3 linked regions of the Lepisosteus oculatus genome follow. The protein of the gene in region 2 purifies or fractionates together with the protein of the main gene of each other region. This does not show direct contact. Links are inferred from orthologs where the notes say so. Each region holds a gene or a part of one and is shown on either strand. Other genes may lie near its edges.

Region 1 (6,952 bases), on a different chromosome or scaffold from region 2:
GTCCTGCTCACGACTGCAAGAGCTCGTTTTCATACGGCTAGGACTTACGTGAGTGAGCGGGATAGAGATTGGCGTGTTATTCAGAGGAACAGGGCTGAATCTGACCAGGGTCTGTATCTTACCACCATGTCAAGGTCCTTTAAGGAGTGTTACACCTGTGTCATGTAATCAGCAGGAAACACCCGCACAGCACTTCGACAGCGAAGGCAGGCAGTGGCGCAAAACACAGCGCTGATGGAGAAGGAACAGGTAGTGGGTTTATTCCAGGCTGGAAAGGGGAGAAAGGACACACAACGTTTGGGCTGTGGAGCCTTCTTCAGGTGTGAGAAAGACAGGGCAGGCGGCGAAGATTAAAGAGCAGAATCTTGGGTCCAGGAGAATCTGGGTTTGGCGGCCAGGCTGCGCCGGGCCTCCTCCTTAACCTGAGTTCATGTTTCAGGCGTGAGTGATCACCCCCCTTCATTCACATCTGAAATGAGCAAACGCACCAGAAAAAAAACGCTTTCTGGGGCAAATGAGTGTTAGTCCACTTCGGAAGCGGATGTACAGCTCATGGAGCAATCCGTATTACACATCCTCCACCGGGAGATAATATTCTAATGCTCTAATACCAGTCTTCACCGCGGAGGGCACGAGTCCATTCGTTAACGGCCATTGGCCAGAGGAATATTCTTAGAACGGCAGAACCCAGTATGACGTCACCACGTGATAATGCGCCCTTTGATTTCCGCTTGTAAAGCACAGAATTAAACTCCACCCCTCGTCCCCCCCCCCCGTCTCCGCTTGTCACCAAGGAGACACCACTGCTGTTGTCATAGCGACGACACCCCCCCCACACACACACACACTCCCCACATTACATTCACACATTCCCCGGTACACACAGTCACTAGGTTGATTTTTTCCTGCTGTGACCTCTTAATCGCGTTCTAAAAAACACCGTCCGTTCAAAAAAGCACACGTCCCCCCAGGCTGACGCAGACCGCGAGAGGAAGGTGCAGACCTTGTATTCAAGGATTTGCTTAAATTCGCCTTTTTTTTCTAACCCAGATTTAAAACGAAGACCTGGTACAGGGCAATAGAATTACTGTGATTTCGGTTTATGCTGTGTGTGATTGAATCCGTGTCTTAAGTCATTTTAAAGCCAAGGTTATAAGTTAATACCCTTCAGAAAACAGGGATAAATAAAACCGGCTGAGAGCAGCGAGGGTGCCGGGGCTGTTGCCTGGGCACGGTGCACAGCGCCCCCGCCTGGACACACCCCGCACTGCGTGCTGCCACAAACCCGGTGTTCCTGCGGTTACGTCCATCTGGAACCCGGCGCGTTAGCTCTGTGACCGCGGGTTTGAGGGCGGATCTGCGTGCTGCGGGTGGTGAACACCCCCGGCACAATTACGACTTGCAGAAAACGTGGCCTGTTGAGAACTCGTAGCAGGTGCTGCCGGTTTCTGCAGACGCGCCTGGGACCGGCGGCGGGGTTGGACGGGAACCGGCGCGGAGCTGAGCGAGCCCGTCGGCAGAGCCCGGTCGCGCCTCGTCTCCGCGAACAAAGAGAATCGGCTCGGGGACGGATTTCTGAAGCTTGGGCGCCACCCAGCGGACAGATTGAGAAAATTCTAACTGTAATACAACTGTAATACAATTGGAGAATTGGGGTTGCACGACAGGACTCCCCAGTGTTCGTTTTTACTTTATATATATATATATTTTGTGTTTTCTAAGCCGTGTGCTGCAGTAGTTTAAGCGTAAGACTGCCCACAGATCATATTGAGTTTCTTTACATATAACGCGAATTAGTGTACACCAGGGTGTCATTATGATATGTTTTTGCACATAAGCATTTCGTATCACACGAATCCTCTCGTATCGTACTGTAAGCTTGTTGGTTTCAGTTGGTCTGGCTCTTGCCTCTGGGTATTTTACTGCTACAGTTCAGGTGCCGTGGGTTCGTCACACTCCAACACCAGCGTCTCACTTCGGATTCGAACCCACATCCTTTACCACTCCTCCATAATGCTGCCTTATACGTTAAAAAAACAATAATACGTTGTGTGTAAGAGTATTACGGACAGAAAATAGATACTCTGTTGCAATTCCAGCCATCCCTGTTCTAATCCCTTTATCCAACACAGGGTCACGGAGAGACAGGACCCATCCCAGTGAACAAGGGGCACAAGGCGGGATACACGCCGGGCTGGACACCAGTCCATCACAGGACCCACACACACACACACACACACACACACACACACACACACACACACACACACACACACACACCAGGGCAGCTCTTCCCAGAGGCCAAATAACCTGCCAGTACTTTTCTGGACTGTGAGAGAAAGCCCCACGCAAACTCCACACATACAGCACCCCAGGAGCTGACCTGTGAGGCAGTAATGATAACCACTCCTCTAGGGAGGCTCGGTTTCATGAAGGCATTACAATTGATGTTGTAGGGTGATGCAGAGAGGGGCCACTGGTTAAGACGGAGATGTGTTTTCCCAGTGGAAGATCCGTAAACTAACTTGAACTGTCAGGGCTCGGTCTGCAGACAGAGCCAATGAAGGAACCGATCAAGGTCCGGGCTCACAGTGAGGCAGAGGGCACGGCCGCGATGAACCTGACGGCCGAACGCTATAGGACATCAATGTTCCCGGGAGCAGTACTAGAGTATTTTGTGATTCACGCAGAAATAACATTTAAAACGCTGACATTGGGGACGTAAGGCAGCTAGCATTGGTGCCACACAGCGCTGGGGCCCCGGGTTCAATTCTGGACCTGGGGTACTATCTGTGTGGAGTTTGCGTGGTCTCCTTTGCTCATGGCTTGGCCCTGGTGTGTGTTCTGTCCTGGGTGTGTCCTAGGTGTGCCTATTGCTTGCTGGGATAGGCTACAGCCCCCTTGGGGAAGATGGATGTTACTGTATATTTAAACGGGCATCCATTCGCTAACCCAGTCATTAGGGTCCTGTAGTCCTGCATGTTCCCTGTTTTTTTTTCCCAGTATTTAGGCCTGCTGTGCAAAGATGAATTAATCTGGGTCCCTTTATCCTTCATTTCAAACTTTAATGAAAACCACAGAAAATCGGGTCAGTTTGAAAGGAAGCTGTTTCTTTGAAAATACCACCCTGGCTGAGCTGTTGTACCTTTCTGACCTTGTCTGACATCCGACAGATTACAGTGTTGTTTTTTCCTGTTTAATAGCCTCGTTTAATAGCACAAAATGAAGCAAGGGGAAAGGGAAGAGATGTTCTTCACCCATTGTCGAACCACAGTGGTACGTGGTGTCTGCTTTGAGAAACGGGAGATTTTAAACATACAAAGACAGCTTCTCGATGTTTTCATTTAATTTGCTTTGTGCTATCGTAAGTGCAAAGTTCAGTGGACTGGGGAGTCTCGAGTGTCTCCGCACGTCTGGCTCAGTGCTGAACCACACAACAACTGTGGGCGCTTTCATTTAAAGTCGTCTTGCTGTTGTGGTTCTGCTCGTCACTGTAGAGTCTCTTTCAGATCCGTCAGTTGCTGTAAATAGTCTCACCCAATCAGGTATACAGGGTATGTTCTGTATGTCACGGAGAACACACAGTTCTTCAGTCTGTAGGCGGGCGATTTGAAAGAACGCGTTACTTTATTTACGGATCTCTTCCTAACTTCATGCACAAGAAGAAACAAATCCAAAACTTTGCTTCCCGGCAATAGAAAGGACAAGTGCTTTTTATATCGGAAATTAGACAGAATAAACCGGCCATATTTATATAAGTAATCATATGATGTTTGCCTGCCTTTATTATGAACTATACACAATCAATCTCGTCATCGCTCACGTCTTTTCCTTAAACTTTATAAAGGATTATCCTAAAAATGTAACTTTTTTTTCTCATCAAAAGTACATTTTTAAAAGTGTTTGCCATTGCGTGCTTGTCAGGAAAGCCTGTCGAGTCCGTGGGCTTCGGCGCAGCGTGCGTGGGAAATGACGTCACCGCGCTCGGTTTTACTGTAAACTTCCTCTCGAGCGGGTAGGCGTGTCCTGCGTGCGCCGTGATTGGTCGGCAGAGGGGTTGGGGATTCCCCCAGATTCAGAAAGAAAAACAGTAATTTTCCAGACTCGAGAGCGAGCAATCTGGTTCAAAGAGAAACTGAAAACAACGGATTTTCTGCGCAAGGGGGACCGCTGAACCCCCGAAACATGAAGACCGAGCCCAACGAAGGGGGCAGCTAGAAAAAGCACTCTCACCGATCCGCGGTTCCGAGCTGCACGAAACCTTAAAAGGCGATCTGTCACGCTAGCTCCCCTGCCAGGCTCTCGCCTCTTTCCCCTCGCAACCCGTTTTATTCTCCCTAATGGCTGACCTGCAGCAGCAACAACCCGAACCCCGGCCGCCCGGGTCGGGCAAGGCCCGTGCACAGCGCCCACAGTGTGGGGTCGGCTTCGGCGGCAAGCCCGTGGGGCTGGATGTCGAGGCGGAGGACTGGTGCGACAGCGGGCTGGATTCGTTCAGCTGCTCCACGCTGGGTTCCGAACCCGACCCGATGGGCGCCTGGAAGACGGCACCAGCCAGCACCAGCCTGGGGCCGGCCCGGGACCCGCAGGACTCTGGTGGGCCCACCTGCCCGGACCCCCAGACATCCGACACCTGTGTGTCTCTGGGTGGAGACAGGTTGGACTCGGCGCTGGGGGACTCCATCACGGACGAGCTCCTGGGCAGTCTCTCCGAGGGGATCGGCACGCTCGGTCTGGGCGATGCTGGAGGGGGACCCGGCGGTCCCGGCGGCCGAGCCCAGGAGCTGCTGATGACGGAGGAGCTGTTCAACACGCTGACTTTCGTCTCGGAGGACGGGGACACGTGAGTGGCGCACCTTCGCCGCATAAATCGTTTTTAAAAGCCGTTCGAGTCTCCCTCCTGCTGGGGATCTGACTCCGTGCTCTGCCTTGAGCTGAAATGTGGGGTAAAACGCGCCTGCGGGTAGTGACCGTGTTTTAGGGACCTTTGTTGAGGTGTGGGGGTTCTCGGGGGTCACCCGCTCGCCCTGCTGCGGTTTCCCAGGGGCGAGGATGATGGCTCGCACGTGTGAGGTGGCGTCCAGTGTTAGTGGCCTTCGTGTCCAGTCGGCTAGTGCGAACTCGGTTACCTCTTCTCCCTCCTCTGTCAGTGCTCTACACCTGGCGCTGATCCACGAGCACTGGGCCTTCCTGCAGTACCTGCTGAGCGTGGTGTCTCTGGACCCAGCCTGGACCCAGTACCTGGACACACAGAACCACCTGGGCCAGGTAACTACCCCGCACGCGTGCACATTGGGCTCACAGGTGTTGCAGTATGCTGTGGTCTGTTCACCCTGGGCAGTGTGTGTTAAGTAGTCTCTTAACACTGCAGTGTCCAGTCAGTGTGTCTGTATTAACCCCTCTCTCTCTCAGTGCAGTGTTAATGTACTGGAGTGTCCAGTCAGTGTGTCTGTATGAACCCCTCTCCCTCAGTGCAGTGTTAATGTACTGGAGTGTCCAGTCGGTGTGTCTGTATGAACCCCTCTCTCTCTCAGTGCAGTGTTAATGTACTGGAGTGTCCAGTCGGTGTGTCTGTATTAACCCCTCTCTCTCTCAGTGCAGTGTTCATGTCCTGGAGTGTCCAGTCAGTGTGTCTGTATTAACCCCTCTCTCTCAGTGCAGTGTTAATGTACTGGAGTGTCCAGTCAGTGTGTGTGCATTAACCCCTCTCTCTCAGTGCAGTGTTAATGTACTGGAGTGTCCAGTCAGTGTGTGTGCATTAACCCCTCTCTCTCGGTGCAGTGTTAATGTACTGGAGTGTCCAGTCAGTGTGTGTGCATTAACTCCTCTCTCTCAGTGCAGTGTTAATGTACTGGAGTGTCCAGTCAGTGTGTCTGTATTAACCCCTCTCTCTCTCTCAGTGCAGTGTTAATGTACTGGAGTGTCCAGTCGGTGTGTCTGTATTAACCCCTCTCTCTCTCAGTGCAGTGTTAATGTACTGGAGTGTCCAGTCAGTATTAACCTCTCTCTCAGTGCAGTATTTTCCAGTGTGTCTGTATGAGCCACTCTGTTTACGCTGGCACAGATATTCTGTAACGAGAGAACAAGAGGAAGTGTCCCAGATTATTTTTGTCAGTGGTGCCCCAGAATGCACCCTCTGGTGTTCTTAAGGAATGAGCTCATGTTCCAGTCCAGCCAGGGCGTGTTAGTGTAAACACACCGCTGTCACGTTCAGTCGGACTGGAGGAAATTCCCAGGGAGAGCTGCCTGCCTCCCGGCAGCGCTGTCATGTTCCCAAACTTCTTTCTGACGTTGGAGCTGGAGGAGGAAGCGCAGGCAGCCAGACCGATACCCCGACTCCCCTGGGCTGGGGCTCCCTTGCCACATCAGGTGATGGTGTCACGTCCACGACACGTCAGCCTGCCTTTGGACTGGATAGCGCACGTTCCCAGGCTGTGCTCAGTACTGGTGGGGGACCGGACGTGCTGGAGGAAGTCTCTTCCTGTAGTTAAAGAGGAACTGCAGCCCAGTCTCTCATGAAGCGCTAGGGATACCAGTCACCCTGGTTTCTCTCCTCCCTTCCCTCTTGGAAGAGTAACAGGAGCACGAAAGCACGAACGCCCCGATTCAGAGGCGGTTTCTTCCCGCTAGCTGTCAGATTACTGAACTCTACCCCTACCACCGGCGCACACTGATGGAGTTTTTTCTCATACTGCTTGTCTGACTTCTGTTTTTTATTCAACTCGTTGTTGTTGCTGCTGCTGCTGTTCTGTGTTTGTGTTTCTGGTGATTGTCTTTGTATCGGCGCATACATGCCAATAAGCGTTTCGTTGCACCCGTGCGTACGACAGATAGACTGAGCCGCACTTCTTAAATCTCGGGAGCCAAATAAATTCGTCGACGTCGAGGAAAAAAGTGAAAGTGCTGTGAGTCTCCGTGTTGACCCGACTTGCACTCGGGGTCCCCCGAATTG
Region 2 (7,218 bases):
CCCCTCTTCAGGAGATTGGGAAAAGAAAATTGCAGGTTACAGAGGTGAAGCAATCATTGGGCCATCAGGCACAATGGCATGAGAGGAAGAAACGGTTTCTCTCTCTTTTTCTTTCTCTGTCAGTTTCCCTTGGCTGAGCTCTCTTTATAGCCAGATAACAGAAGTTACAATTCTAGCAGCTCTCCTCATCCAGCAACCATATAACTTTCCACTCTTGCCTTTGTAAATAATAAAAAAAAAATTATAGTTGCTTGCAGTCTATGCATTATATCCTTGTAATTATGCCAGAATTACAAGGACATATTGCTAACAAAAGAAGCATTTTAAACATAAACCACTTTTTACAGATGCAAGGTCATCTTTTAATCACTTTGAATCACTACTAGGTTACACCGAGCCAGTACAGAAGTGACATGAGGTCTTAGTTTTGTCTCTGTGAGGACTCTCGAGGCTGCATTTGGCAAAAGTGGCAGTCAAAACAGAACCTTGTTAGTGAGATCAGAAAATAGAATGTTATAGTAGTTGGAACAAAATCATGAACTAGTTACTCAGCCTCAGCAAGCAAAGAAGCTTATGTTAGCAAGATTTCTTAGGTGAGCCAAGGACTGCCTTGTAATATTATTTCATGGGGGCAGTATGCGTAGGCTGCAAAGGAACAAGTAATAGGTTTATTCTATGCTGAAAAGAGAAGAAAGAAAACACAATGTTTCTGGTGTCACCCAAAGAAGGCTCCACAGCTGAAACATTGTGTTTTCTTTCTTCTCTTTTCAGCATGGAATAAACCTATTACTTGTTCCTTTGTAATATTATTGATGTGTGAATCAAAACTTAATCTTTTATCAAATATATTTTTTTTACTTCAGACTCCATATTAGAAGTCAAATCATTTAAATTGTGAATCAGTCTGGTCTAGACTTTGTTGCCTACATGTTAGATACAGACACTGAACTAGCATAGAGGACAGAGGCTATTCTAGCACAAACTGTGTGGTAAAAGAAGCAGTGTGGGGTGGCAGGGTGGTGGATGCAGAGCAGCCCCTGAAACAACCACCCAATGGAGGTGGAGGGTGTAGACCGATGGAGAGGGAGGCACATGCTGCCTTGATTGCGGACAGCAGGGGTACATAGCGGAGTGCTTCTGTGGCAGAGAAGTGACTCAGGAAAGGGGAACAGGCCAGCTGTAAAGGAGGAGAGCTGTCCCACACGAATGAGCCCTTGAGTGGGTGAGGGTGCCGCAGTTCATGTGTGGCTGTAGGTGTGCAGGAGGCCTTGGTCGTTACTGGCACCACCGTTCCCCTGTCGACTCTGATGCATAGCTTTGGTACTGTGGGGGCAAAGGACACTTCAGTCTGGAAGAGTTCAGAGATGAGCTGCATGAAAGCCATGCTGGGCAGAAGGTGCTGCCTGTGTAGGAGGCTGCACCAGGCTAATTCTGGTTCTGGTGCTAGTCTAGGTCTCTTGGGACTTTCTCCAACCGGCAGGATTGAGAATTGATATGGCCGAGGCAGCTGGTCTCAGCAGACCAGATCCACTCCCTAAAGAAGTGAGAGTGTGGGCTGAACCTGCAACACCTGAGTGGCAGGCTAGTCCAGGTCTCTGCACAGGCGACTGGTGGAGGACCACCATGGGGGGCTCCCATAACACTCCCAAGAAAACACAAGTGTGAAGGGGGGACAGAACACCTCTATGGGCTTGAAAACACAAGTTACATGCCCATGTATAGGCCTGCAGTGAAGCAAGAATGTTCCTCACCCATGGAGGGTCCACAGCCACCGAGAGGGTCATCCCAGATCTGTGGTAAAGAAGCCAGTGGGGCCTCCACCCAATGCAGCAGCAGCTGAAAGAGCTTCTGTGGGCTTTCTGGGACACGGGATAAAGACTGTACACACACCAGCTTGGAGCAGCACCGTACTGAGATGGTGACACCCCCGTCCACCTGCCCCCTGATACTCAGAGTTGGCCAAGTAGCAGGCCACAGGAGAGGAACTCCAGAGCATGTCCAGTGCTGGATCTGGGCTCATTAATTTGGTGCTGATGAAGAAAAAGATGGATCATTTTGTTTCTGCGTGGACAACCAAGAACAAGTCACCAGAACAGATGCCTATCTACTCCCTTAGGATCTATGAGGCCAAGGACCACAATGCAGGCTCACATGGGTTCAGTTCCCTGGACCTCAGAAATGACTATGACACTGGAAGACAGGCTAAAGCCTTAATTCTCCCTAGGGGGGGCTGTGGCAGTTCCAAGCAAAGCCCTTTTGTTAGGAATTAGTAGTGAGGACCCTATGCAGAAAACCAGGGCAAACTCCAAAAGGCGTAGTTGAAAGAATAATCTGGGGTCTGAAAGCCGTAGGTAAACTAGCCGGTGCAAACGTACAAATAACCAGAGGTGGAGCAGTAAACCATGAGTAAGCCAAGAGCCAAAACCAGAACGAGAGCAAAAGTACCAGAACCGAAACCAGGAGATGTAGACGGAGAAAAAACCAGGGTCAGGAAACTAAAAACCAAGTAGTAAATAACAATGAGACTGGGAGTAGCTCTAGCCAGGAAAACCCTAATACTGAGCACCGGGAAGAGTGTGAGGCAGCATTAAATAGGCTAGGGAAAAGGGCTAATTGGGAATTGTGCTGGAATGTGAGGTGGAATGCTGATTCCTCCAGGGTCGTGGCGTAACACCTTTGGCCTCTGTCACACTGCAGTGTCCCCTGAACTGCTGACAGGCTTAAATAGTGGGACAGAACAAGAGGCAGGTGCACATAATCAACTAAAATACGAAAGGGTCGGAGCGCCCTTTAAGAGGACGGATGCCAATCATGACAAAGACTGTGTCACTAGCAACAATGCTCTATTTCTGGAAGTGATATAAAAGTGGCACTTCTGTACATATTATGTTTATGATGAATGAAATCACTAATACAACATTTTCTGGCATTAAGAGGAACAACAGCTCCATCTTGTGCGCAGTAATTTCTTCACACACAAGTCAGAAAATCCCCTAAACCCTTCTGAGCCCTGCAGGACTGCCGGCTTCCTAACCCAAACTGAGAAAGGCTAGTGAGAACCAACAAGTCCTGGAAAGATGTGACTCAGTTAATGAGATAAATTTCATAGTTGACTCCCTGGGTTATGATGTGTTAGAAAGAAAGTAAAAATATTAATACAACATTTCAACCAGTTTTGAACCTAATAGGTACTAATCTGTTGTTAGTAGCATATGAGTCTTGAGAGTGACTTTTTCACAAACAAAAGCAGTGACACATTCACACTTTCCAAATAACTCTGGCTCTTATTACTTTTGTCCCTGATAGCGAATACTTTCCAGAGGACTGAAGAGAATTGAAGAGGACAATTCTTCATTCAATGCTTCTTCTGGATATCACTGTTGGGACTGGTGTCCATAGGAGCAAAGAATTTGATTATATGATTATAAGTGAAAAGTCCTGTGAGAGACACAAATCAAATGACTTTATTGTAAACCCAATCCTACTTGATAATCTCACATACACATTAAATATCTGAGCAATGAGGAAAATCCCTTTGGCCTAATGAAACAACTGATGCTGACAAAGTACTTGCTGGTGACTCAGGTATGAACCATTCTAGTAATGCTTGTGGCCACATTATTACACATACAGCCAAAACAGATATTACTACAGCTTTTCATCTTAACAAACTTGGGTCAATATTGTCAGATGGTGTTCCGTGTTGGAATATCCATACAGCATACATCTTTTTTTAAGTTCCTGAAACACAAAATTATTGTTTTCAGCCATGACAATGATAACAAAAAATAACTAGGGGGGTTTCCTTCTTGCTCCCTCGGGGGGCAATGCTGTTGTGTTAGGAAATGTTTAAAGGACGAACTACAAACTACAAACTGTCTCCCACAGCAAGAGATACATTATTTGCGGCACAGTAAAACCTGTTGGAAATCTAGAAGTTGAATTGTGAAACGTTACTCCCGACAGTACACTAAACTCTTCAAACATGTCAAAAGACGTGTACATGATGTACTCTTCTCAACTCAGCGTTTTATTTGCTCACTTTCTGGTAGCGCAAATTTAGGGAGGGATCTACTGTATATGCAAACCCGACTTTTTCCGCGGCCAGCCAATGAGCGGCCCGGAGACGTGACAGCGGACTGTGCGGAATTCCCCTCTCTGTCCGGGACTTTCCGCCTGCCGGAGTTGCACACAAGCAGAGTGTTGATGTGTAACACAGAAGTAGCGGGCTGCCCTGAAAAACCTGCCTTTAATCTACTTGAACAATATAGAAGATTTCATAGGGGGAAAACCGCAGTGTCTTTTAGTTTGTCTTTAACTATGGATTTGCGTTCTCTGTGAGGATATTGATAGTGGTTGTGGAAACTTGGAGGAGAACAGTAACATCTCTCTGCTCCTGAAACGATACAGTAAACAACCAGGTGCTCCCGAATAACCAGAAGAGGTAAGATATATTCAAATTCATGCATGTCGCGTCTAGCCTGTGCACTGCGATATCACACCATTTCATTCTTATTAATGCGAGAGCTGCAGATTTGGGAGCTCAGCCCGACCTCCGGATAATAAATTGATACTGTTGCTCCAAAAAATGAATAAGAAGTCAAGAAGCTTGCTATCTGTGCCGTTAATTTCGACTTGAAATTGTTTAAAAAACACTTTTGTTGAAATTCGTTCTATTTAGAAAACAAGAAAATTATGTACAGAGGTAAATACAGTAGACTGCATGCAATGCACACGTCAAGGTCGGTTGTGTTAATATTGTATGTCACGGGTCCTACGGTTTCGACTCTGTTCTGACTGCAATGGTGTGTATTTGAAATGCTGACAGCCCTGCAGTTTGCCCCCTCATGTCTGGACAACCTCAGCGTAAGCCTGGGCTACTGTGACGGCTCAGCGGCACACTGTCGCTAGGGACGGTCGCGCTCTACAGTGTCCGGTGGAGAGAGACATGTAGGAGTTGAGCCTCAGTCTCGTATTTCCTGTGCTGCTAACTTTGCTGGGACTGGGATTCCGACACAACAGCACACATTAATTTATTTTACCAAGGCTACATTTTTTAACTGTAAACTGGAGTTTGATTTGCCTTTTCCATCAACCTTCCAGTTTTCCTGTCTTTAAGATTTATTCATGTAGTTATAAATACAATCCAACAGACGTGGCCTTTGGCAGGTTTTAGGAAAAGAATAAGGACACACTGTCTCCAAGTGATGTGCTTTACAGAAGGTGTGTTGGAGGGGTGAAGGGTGTGCTCATCTCTCCGGTGTGCTTGTCATCTGAAAGGTGATCTTGGTGGGTCTCTTACGGTCCTTTCAATGTTTCATCAAGACGTCTTTTAACGTTTCTCAGGCCTGTAAAAACAATTAACACAAGGCCGCTAATTTATAGTTTGGTTGGGTTCTGTACTACAAAGCCTCCTTTAACCTCAATACACTAGAAACTGTGTTTCGCAGTGTCTTTGTTCCACAAAAAGAATTCTTCATTACAAAGAGGAGAACATGAGGAAACACTTGTCTAGAAACAGTTAACTCTTAGAGGTATTGAATACATGATTGGAAAGCTGGAAATGCACAAAAGTGGACAGATGTCAGGATCAACAATGCAGCAATAAAAATTTACTTTTTCAAACCTTGTGTATCTTTAAAAAAATTGCACATCTCAAGGATCAAAGTGAGCCTTTTTAATTTTTTTCACCTTTTTATTCTATGGATGGTGTCTTTAATAGACTCCTTTATATTGGTATCGCATCGGTGAGGTCAAATCATCTTTATCTTTCTCTTTTTTAAATGTAGTGTGAATATATTTTTCTATATACACCATAGCCTACACCATACACTATATACATCATAGCCTATAATATGAAGAGCCTATGAAGATCTGTAATGTTTATGTTCCACACAAACATAATATGAGATTATCTTCGGCATCTGAGTTCCACGTGGCAAGATCTCCATTAGATACAGTAGGTCAGAATTAAGCAGGTTGATAGCTTAGCCAATGTATTGTAGGGGTCTGTAACTAACTCCTACATAGGGCCCTATTTGATAGAGGCATTGTCTTTATATTATGTGAATTCCCTGAAAATACATTCATTACTTGTAACAGGTGGTCCCTTTTAAGTCTATCACATTGTTAAAGCTCTGTGTTTGGAAATTACAACCTCTTCCTTTATTCCTTGTCTCACTAGCAAACTATTGCCTTCTTTACAACTGTGAATTTTGTATGTTTACATACCAATAATGCCTGGCTTTTCTGATGGGGAATCTATAAACATCAGAGGGACATACCTTATACCTTACCCTGTCTGGGTATTAAGGTACAGTACATATGCTTTCAGGGTTCTTTAAGGTGGTTTTAATTAATTTTATTTAATTAAATTAATCATCCAGTGGTATAATTTAAAACATTTAAACCTGTTGCAGATTCATTAGTAATAACATCTCTGTGAATTAATTAAAAATGTATTGAGCTCTTGTATGTTTTGGGGGTATCTAGTGAGAAAGGTCACTCATGATAATTCTGATTCAGATGAAGAGAATCCACATTTGACAACTTAACCAACATGTAAATGTGTATTCTGTATGTTTTTTATGTGGAATTAGAGAATAGAAATGGGGGAGTGTTTGTTTGCTAGTAAATAAAGAAGAGGAGAAATAATACAATCCCTAATCCCTCTTCTGAGATCAAATGTAGGAGATGTGCTGGTTATAACAGGAACAGCTATTCTTGAACTGTCCTCATGTCAGTGAGCTCATTGTTTAACAATACTTCAACAATTGATGAGATTCAATTTTATAGTGACCAGAACAAGATAAAGATTAAGGTTCACCCTTAATCAGCAGGGTTTTGTGAGTTGTGTAAATGGCCAGAATTCTCGCTTTGGTGCAAAAAGAAATGCTTATGTATTATAGAAATGCTTACTTTGCTCAAAAAAGGTTTCATTGTTGTACAGTATCATTTACAGGCAATGCCCAGGCCACAAGTCTATATGCAGCGTTCATGGTTCATGCACATTTTTTTATTGGTGGGACTTTCAAATCCCAATTGACCATTAAGGTGTGACTCGTTGAAGTCGGAGGATATAGACACACTCGTTCTCATTACACACCCTTGCAGCCAGCTTAGCAGTGTCTGTAGCAAATCTCTTTACATGGTGGTCTCATCATGGATTTTTCACACACATGCTCCAGCTGTTTCACTGTTATAGCACAGCCTGTTAGA
Region 3 (7,528 bases), on a different chromosome or scaffold from region 2:
GGACACAATCAGGTGTTACAGTATATGAAGGTGATGTGCATCAGCAAGTTACTCAAAACCTCCACTGGTATTTGGTACAATGATAAAAATTTAGTTATTAATACAGCTTAGATTGAGTGAGAGAAAAAACAAGCTTGTCATGTAGTCATTGGTCATTCACATGAATGAAAAACACTTCAGAACATTTGTATCATCATACTCAAACTAAACCAATCATGAGCAGCATATAAGAACATTTAAAAAGACCACAAACACGAAGTGGACCATCTAATCCCCATGGATGGTAGAGGCAAATCCATAGATATCATTCAGACATTTCTTGAAAAAATAAATGGTATCGGCTTCAACAAAATGGCTAAGTAGCTTATTGCTGACAGCCAGAACTCTGTGTAAAACGTGCCCTCTGTTCCCAGTTTTAAATGTACCTTCTTGCAAATTACACTTGTGTGCTGGGGTTCGTGTCTCGGTGTTGATTCTGAAGAGTTTACAATGCCAACGTCTCTGAGGCATTTGAATACTTGAATTATATATAAAATATGTGAAGTGTTTACCCATTTACGTTTACCAGTCAAATAAATTCTGGCCGGGTGTGGCTTGTTATTCACATAGTGTGTTCCTCTCTACACATCCATCGTGCTCAAAGGCAACATTTCGCTCTACAGCACTGAGATCTGATAGGACTTAAAGCCAAGTGGCTACAATTCCGAAGGCAGAGAATAACCGGTGTTGTGCTTCAGCGGAAAGAAAGGAAAACCCTGAGTGGTAAGAGCTGAACAATGGAAAGTGTCTAAGTCTGCCGCACAGCTGAGTCTGTCAGACCGTTCCTAGTGCTACACCGAGTCGGCAGTGAACCAGGACCAGTATGGACCCAGAAACAACAGGGCTGTGTCCCTTGTTCCCTGTAGAACACTGCCCACTACAAAACATCAGCTCACAAACAGCTTTCGTTCTGCTCTTTTACTTGCTTGCTTTGTATTGTGCATCACTGATGCCACTTGATCTTGCGCTGCATTTATACTGCACTTCACTGACGTAGTATGCTGTCCACCGTGCTGGATATGAACTGTTATAAGGAAGAGTGCCTTTTTTTAAACCAAAACCGTTAGTAACTGAGGAGCCACTGGAAGAGTAATGTTGTGCAATGCTCATTTACTATCGCAAAGGTTTTATTTTGACGTGTCACCGTGAGCAGAGACGGGCAGTCTCCCCTGAAAAGAGAGAAAAATAACGATCAATTAGGAAAGTCAGACTTGAAATCGGATCGTAGGTCGAGGTGCGCCCCCTGCTGACCATTCTGTGAACGGCCTTCACGGAAGAACCCCACGGCCTACTACGCGTTCGTTATCCCGAACCGCAGGTAGGATTGGTCTGGTCAGGGCATTGATCGCATGTTCATTCCAAGCATGTCCCAACATTCCCAGCTGAGCCAGGCTTGTTACTAGGTGACGACGATAGGTATTGATGTGGCAAGCAGACATTCAAAAACCTCCTTGGCCTTCTAATGTTAACCCCTTATTATGACTTTATAGACTAGCATACCCCCTTACAGGCAACTTCCAAAACCGAACAGCTAGCTGGGTCTTTTACCAGAAAGACAGTACAAAGTTTTTTAGTCACTTCTTTACCACCCTCATTTGTTTTTGTTAATATTAACCAAATACAACAATAATAATAATAATAATAATAATAATAATAATAATAATAATTGCTTGCACTTATACATCAATTTAATCAATTTCCCTTTGGGATCAATTAAGTCTTATCTATCCACATGAGGGGGCGGGGCAGAGGCACTGTGGTTAAGGCTCTGCACCTGTGGCTGGAAGGTTCCCGGTTCGTATCCTGTGGCTGGCAGAGGAGTCCTACTCCGTTGGGCCCCTGAGCAAAGCCCTTAACCCCACCTGCTCCAGGGGCGCTGAACAATGGCTGACCCTGTGCTCTGACCCCCAGCTTCTCTCCCTGCCTGTGTGTCTCATGGAGAGCAGGCTGGGGTCTGCGAAAAGACAAATTCCTAATGCAAGAAATTGTATCTGGCCAATAAAGTTTTCTTATCACATATAGTCCTTTTTCTGGACACTCCACTCAAAGCGCTTTACAGGTAATGGGGATCCCCTCCACACCCACTAGTGTGCAGTCCCACCTCGATGATGCAACTGTAGCCATAGTGCACCAGAACACTCCCCACACACCAGCTACCAGTGGGGTGGAGAAAAGAGAGATGAAGCCAGTTCATAGATGGGGATTATTAGGAGGCCATGATTGGTAAAGGCCAGGGGGAAATTTGACCAGGACACCAGGGTAACACCCCTATTCTTTTTGAGAAATGCCCTGGAATTTTTAATTACCAGAGGGAGTCAGGACCACGGTTTTACATCTCATTCCAAAGGATGGCGCCTTTTTTTAGAGATTGAAGATTGAATCTTCTTCTGATACAAGATTGAAGAATTCCATCATCTTATTCTGCACTGCTCTTTGGAACAGAAGCTTTGTCTTGCAGAATTGTTTACACTGGTGCAATACACTGGCTTGGGGTTATACTACAGCCTGTTGAAATAAGAAATGACGCAAAATACTCTGTACGGGGCACAGAGTGTAGCCAATATTACTGAGGAGATTCAATTACACTGTCCTGGAGAGAGGGACAATGAAAATTATTAAAGCCGCAAAAGAACAAATAAACATGTTCTTGATAAAAACGTTCATTTTAACCTAAAGTTCCCTCTTAATTCAATTGCCGAAGCAGATTTTCAGCACGCCCTAGCCGATCTGCTGCGCAGTTGGGCTGCAGGTGCAGACTGCTGCGAGTTACGTCAGAGCTCTGCGCCGCTCTGGGATGACGAGCGCTGCAGGAATATAAACTTTCCAGCAGAGGGCAGTCTAACCCCGAATTGGGAAGACGCTGAACTATTCTCCCTTTCCTTCTCATACCTTGTGTATCTCAAAATGTGTTTTGTCCAGAATATACAGGTACATCATTAAGAGCTGATTAAATTTAAAACTGAGGGTGACATATACGCACACAAAATTAAACTTCTCCGCGGGCAAATTGTTAACCAGTGAATTTGGGCCGTTGATTCTAGCGAGGGTGCAGGACAATGTGTGCGTGAGGGAGTATATCAGCTACTTCAGTTTCGGGAACCACGACGAAAGCTTTCCAGCACATTGGAGGTGTCTTAGTAATACATTAACACTTGGAACCTCTCTATAGAAATTTCCAGAGTCTCTTTCGAAAATCCACAGGGCATGTCTGTAGAAACCGTCAAGTTATTTTTGTAAGGATAAAGTAATCTGTCTGTACTTGAGAGGTGTCCAGGGAGAACTTACTACGGCTTTCACTAGTTGCCCAGATATTAACCTCATAGGTTGCAAGTTGCAGAGATTTCTACTTTAGCTGAAGCACAAGAACAGTTGCAACCAAGAGGCCATTCAGCCCATACAAACTGATTGGTAGTTTGTAGCTAATTGATCCAAGGATCTCCTCCAGTCATTGTGTGATGGAAACAAGGGTCAACGTGACTGGGTAGCTTGTTCCCAGCTCCCACAACCCTGTGCGTAAAGCAGTGCGCCCTGTCCTTAGTTTTAAATTAAACTTCCATGTCCTTTACACTTGTTCCTGCGGGGTCATTTGTCACAGTGAATTCCGAAGAACTCTGGTGGGTTGATTTTGTTTTTCAATGCCTTTGGAGGATTTCAAATCTGTTTCAGGTCCCCCCGCAGTCTCCCCTGTTCAAGACTAAAAGGATTCAGTTCCCTCACGTCAGTGTAGCTCAATGTAGTTCAAGACATCGCGGAGCAGCCATTACTTAAATCAGTCCTGTCACTGAAATAATTTCTGTGGTGCCCAGGCGAACGGTACAGGGTTCACTTCTAGCCAGGAGTGTGTTCTAAGTGGAGTTTGTTCTCTTGGTTTCATCGCACGGTCCAAAAGAAAGCCTGGATAGGCTGATTGGTGTCTCTTTATTTTGTCCTTTGTGTCTATGTGTGGGCCTTACAATACATTGTTATGCTGAAATGCTTTATACCAGTAGTCCTGCATAATGAGTTCTGTGGAACGTCTGAGGGTGTCATTCCAACAGAAACTCTCTTAGCTTCACCTTAGGATTTGTGAGAGATTTTAAAAGTAGGTGTCTATAGGCTCAAACCTATACAGCCGACGATATTTTGGTGTAATATACAGTATTTCAGTTATTTTCTAATATGACATCATGAGGCAGAGGATTTACACATTGGCCTTTTGCTGCTTCAGAAAGGAAATGCTGCCCAGATGCATGATTTTCACTACTGTACGTTTTACGCGAGGTAACAGAAAGAAAACCCGGTTTCACTGAGCAGATATTTCTCATTGTAGAGAGAAAATATCAAGTTAACATTCAACAGCCTGAGCCACAAACCCAGCTAGAAAACGACCTCCTGTTTAAAAAACAAACCACGAGAAATACTTTCGTTTTCTATCTGTCACATCCTCTTGTTAATGATGTAATGTGTATCGTTGAGACAAGACATTTTGTTGTCAGTGCTGTGCCCCTGGCCGAACCGGGAGAACTCCCGAGCCGTGCAAGCAACTCTTCCAGACAAAATACAGCGAAGATCTCGGGTGAGTTCGTGTCCATTTTTACTCGGTTCGGTATTTCAAAGGGTTGCAAGATAAAGCAAACTAATTTTTAGGACCAAAAAAATATATATTTTATACATAAAATGGCGGAGATGGCTGGAAAAGGGGAAGTAGGTACCGTACAGCAACATGAGACGTTTTTCTTCTTCTGAATCTCTCCGGATTTTAAAAGCCATCACGGACTTTTTCTGTTCCGAATATGGCGTGGTTTTGGAAAGTGTACCTTCTTGTACTTCGGGGAGTTTGGACAGGATCCAAAGAAAGGGCATTTCAACGTGATTAGCCGTATTTTGTAACTATATATGACAGAGATCTTTACCTGCCCCCCTTTCTGTCGGTAAACGGACGGAATCCGACACCCGCTTTGTGAAACTCGTGCTTCTCAGAACACATCGTCATTGTTTTAATAAATAAGATGGTTTGCTTTTTATAAATGTTTGTTTATGCAGTGTACCCTAAAACAATTATAAATACTTTCTGACGTAGTTACGCGCAATATAGCAATTAATTTTCAGAAAGACATTGATTCATTAACAACTATGTTAAAGTTAATGTGAGCCAGTTTACGATTGTTGACATTGCAAAACTCATTAAATGTAATGTTTAATATTTGAAGGTTTACGATTTTGCTGTTTTGATTAGGTTATACTTATGTTGCGTTGAACCTTAAATGTTATTGCCTAAACAAACAGCTTGTTGTCGTTTTCTGTTATTTGTATGATGTTATTTCTGTACACAAACTGTTTAAGAAGTTAGAGGGCAAGCGTATATACTGTACAGTAGTAACAATGTATCTCTGAGAAGTGCGTTTTAATGCATTATATTTTGGAATATCTAAATGTAAAGGGTACTCATTTAGACTAATAATAATTTATATTTGTCTATATTTTATTTGTAGCTTGTACAATACCAATACATTTATTAGAACACTTATCGATACTATTTATTAAAGACGTAGTGTATAATTTGTTATTGTATTAGTGTTCAATTTTTTTGCAAACTCGTCTCATTTTGAAGGAATTAAAAGGCTAAAGGAACGTTGCAGGCACCACTAGTCTTGTGATTTTTCTGAAATGCTGTCCAGGTAGCTGATTCACACGTTGGACAGCAGGGTGAGGTAAAACAGTTCAGTGCTAAAGGTTTTGTCAGTGAGCTTTTGCAAAGTCCACTGCGATTTATAATTAGTGCCCGTGTGTTCACTGAGTATATCTACACACTGACTTAATTAAAGATCAATCTGTAATGGTACCTGTTTTGTAACTATCCAGTATTTACGTGTGTACTCAAAGCAATATCATACGCAGCAGATGCAGCAAATGAAATTTGAAGTGCTTAAGATACAATTCAAGACTTGGCAAACACCTGGCAGATGATATTTATTGTAGACGAGTGCAGGATTGTGTAGGTAAAGTAAGTAAAAACAAACTATAAATACTACAACAAAAATCACTGAGCTAAAAAAAGTGATCTTATGAGAAAGGTTTTGGTGTTTGTATTGAAACATTGTTTCTACTAGACAAGGGGTCTCAAACTCAGTCCCTAGAGGGCCTGATGTCTCTTTTACACAGTTGGTCTAATTATTTAATTAACTACACAGTTAATTAAATAGACCAACTACACATTTCTAACCAGGGTCTCCAGTGATTTATAGGTAACTGTACCTTTAAAGAAGTGATCCACTTCAGTGGTTTCATGATCCAAACATCCCACATTCTTCTGGGTCTGACTGATATACAGTACAGTATATACATATATACTATATATACATATGGGTGGATACTACACGTTGTTGTTTGTAATTATAATAATTACTTACACTTATATAGCGCTGTTTCAGGATACTCCACTCAAAGCGCTTTACAGGTAATGGGGACTCCCCTCCACCACCACCAGTGTGCAGCCCCACCTGGATGATGCGACGGCAGCCATAGTGCGCCAGAACGCTCAGCACACATCAGCTATCAGTGGGGAGGAGAGCAGAGTAATGTAGCCAATTCATAGATGGGGATTATTAGGAGGCCATGATTGGTAAGGGCCAATGGGAAATTTGGCCAGGACACCGGGGTAACACCCCTACACTTTTCGAGAAACACCCTGGGATTTTTAATGACCACAGAGAGCCAGGACCTCGGTTTTACGTCTCATCCGAAGGACGGCGCCTGTTTACAGTATAGTGTCCCCGTCACTATACTGGGGCATTAGGACCCACATGGACCACAGGGTGAGCGCCGCCTGCTGGCCCCACTAACACCTCTTCCAGCAGCAGCCTTAGTTTTTCCCAGGGAGTCTCCCATCCAGGTACTGATCAGGCTCACACCTGATTCAGTGGGTTGCCAGTTGTGAGTTGCAGGGTGATATGGCTGCTGGCTGTATATGAATATTACAATTCATGATGCCTGCAGCTTGCCGGTCTTTATGAAGGGTGTGCTGCAGAGTTTTGAACTCCAGTCATTAACCAGGCCCTTGCCCTTGAAGTATTCCAGTCATGCCTGTGGAAATCTGATGAATCCTACCAGGGACTGAAATTGGCACACACTCCAACACAGTTTGGGGGTGGTTAGAATAACACAGCCTCATAGAAATGCAGCCCAGGGTTCTCTTTACACAAATGCAAAGAATGCTGTACATTTGAGTAGGCGTGGATGAGTCACTTGTGAGTGCAGCTTAGCATTCCATTTAATGAAGGAGAGCTAAGTGCAGTTCTTTTCAACACTGCACTTTAGGGGAAGCTCATTTCTTAGTCTTACACGATAGCTCTGTTCATTCTGCTGTTCCACAATGGGATGAAAAATGTTGCCATGTAATTGCATTTTTTCCTGGTAATGTTATCCTAACATCCTCCACTACAGTGTTAAAATGCTTGGTTGTCTAACATCGAGATATCCTGCTATTAACTCTCTGTTTTCAATACTGAAC

What was found.
Region 1: the proteins of nfkb2 (region 2) and nfkbib purify together in Homo sapiens (affinity purification with mass spectrometry; 4 studies listed by BioGRID and IntAct, counting the BioPlex papers as one, with this or other methods). This does not show direct contact. The link is inferred for Lepisosteus oculatus from reciprocal best matches to the Homo sapiens genes NFKB2 and NFKBIB.
Region 3: the proteins of nfkb2 (region 2) and map3k14a purify together in Homo sapiens (affinity purification with mass spectrometry; 6 studies listed by BioGRID and IntAct, with this or other methods). This does not show direct contact. The link is inferred for Lepisosteus oculatus from reciprocal best matches to the Homo sapiens genes NFKB2 and MAP3K14.

Annotation. Positions count from the first base shown.
Region 1 is NC_090698.1:6,487,334-6,494,285, reverse strand, and holds the start of nfkbib (NF-kappa-B inhibitor beta), read left to right. Parts: upstream 1-3,907; 5' UTR 3,908-4,340; coding exon 4,341-4,843; intron 4,844-5,150; coding exon 5,151-5,268; intron 5,269-6,952. UniProt on the Homo sapiens protein: Inhibits NF-kappa-B by complexing with and trapping it in the cytoplasm.
Region 2 is NC_090699.1:46,557,207-46,564,424, forward strand, and holds the start of nfkb2 (nuclear factor NF-kappa-B p100 subunit), read left to right. Parts: upstream 1-4,171; 5' UTR 4,172-4,444; intron 4,445-7,218. UniProt on the Homo sapiens protein: NF-kappa-B is a pleiotropic transcription factor present in almost all cell types and is the endpoint of a series of signal transduction events that are initiated by a vast array of stimuli related to many biological processes such as inflammation, immunity, differentiation, cell growth, tumorigenesis and apoptosis.
Region 3 is NC_090723.1:3,723,804-3,731,331, reverse strand, and holds the start of map3k14a (mitogen-activated protein kinase kinase kinase 14), read left to right. Parts: upstream 1-4,483; 5' UTR 4,484-4,594; intron 4,595-7,528.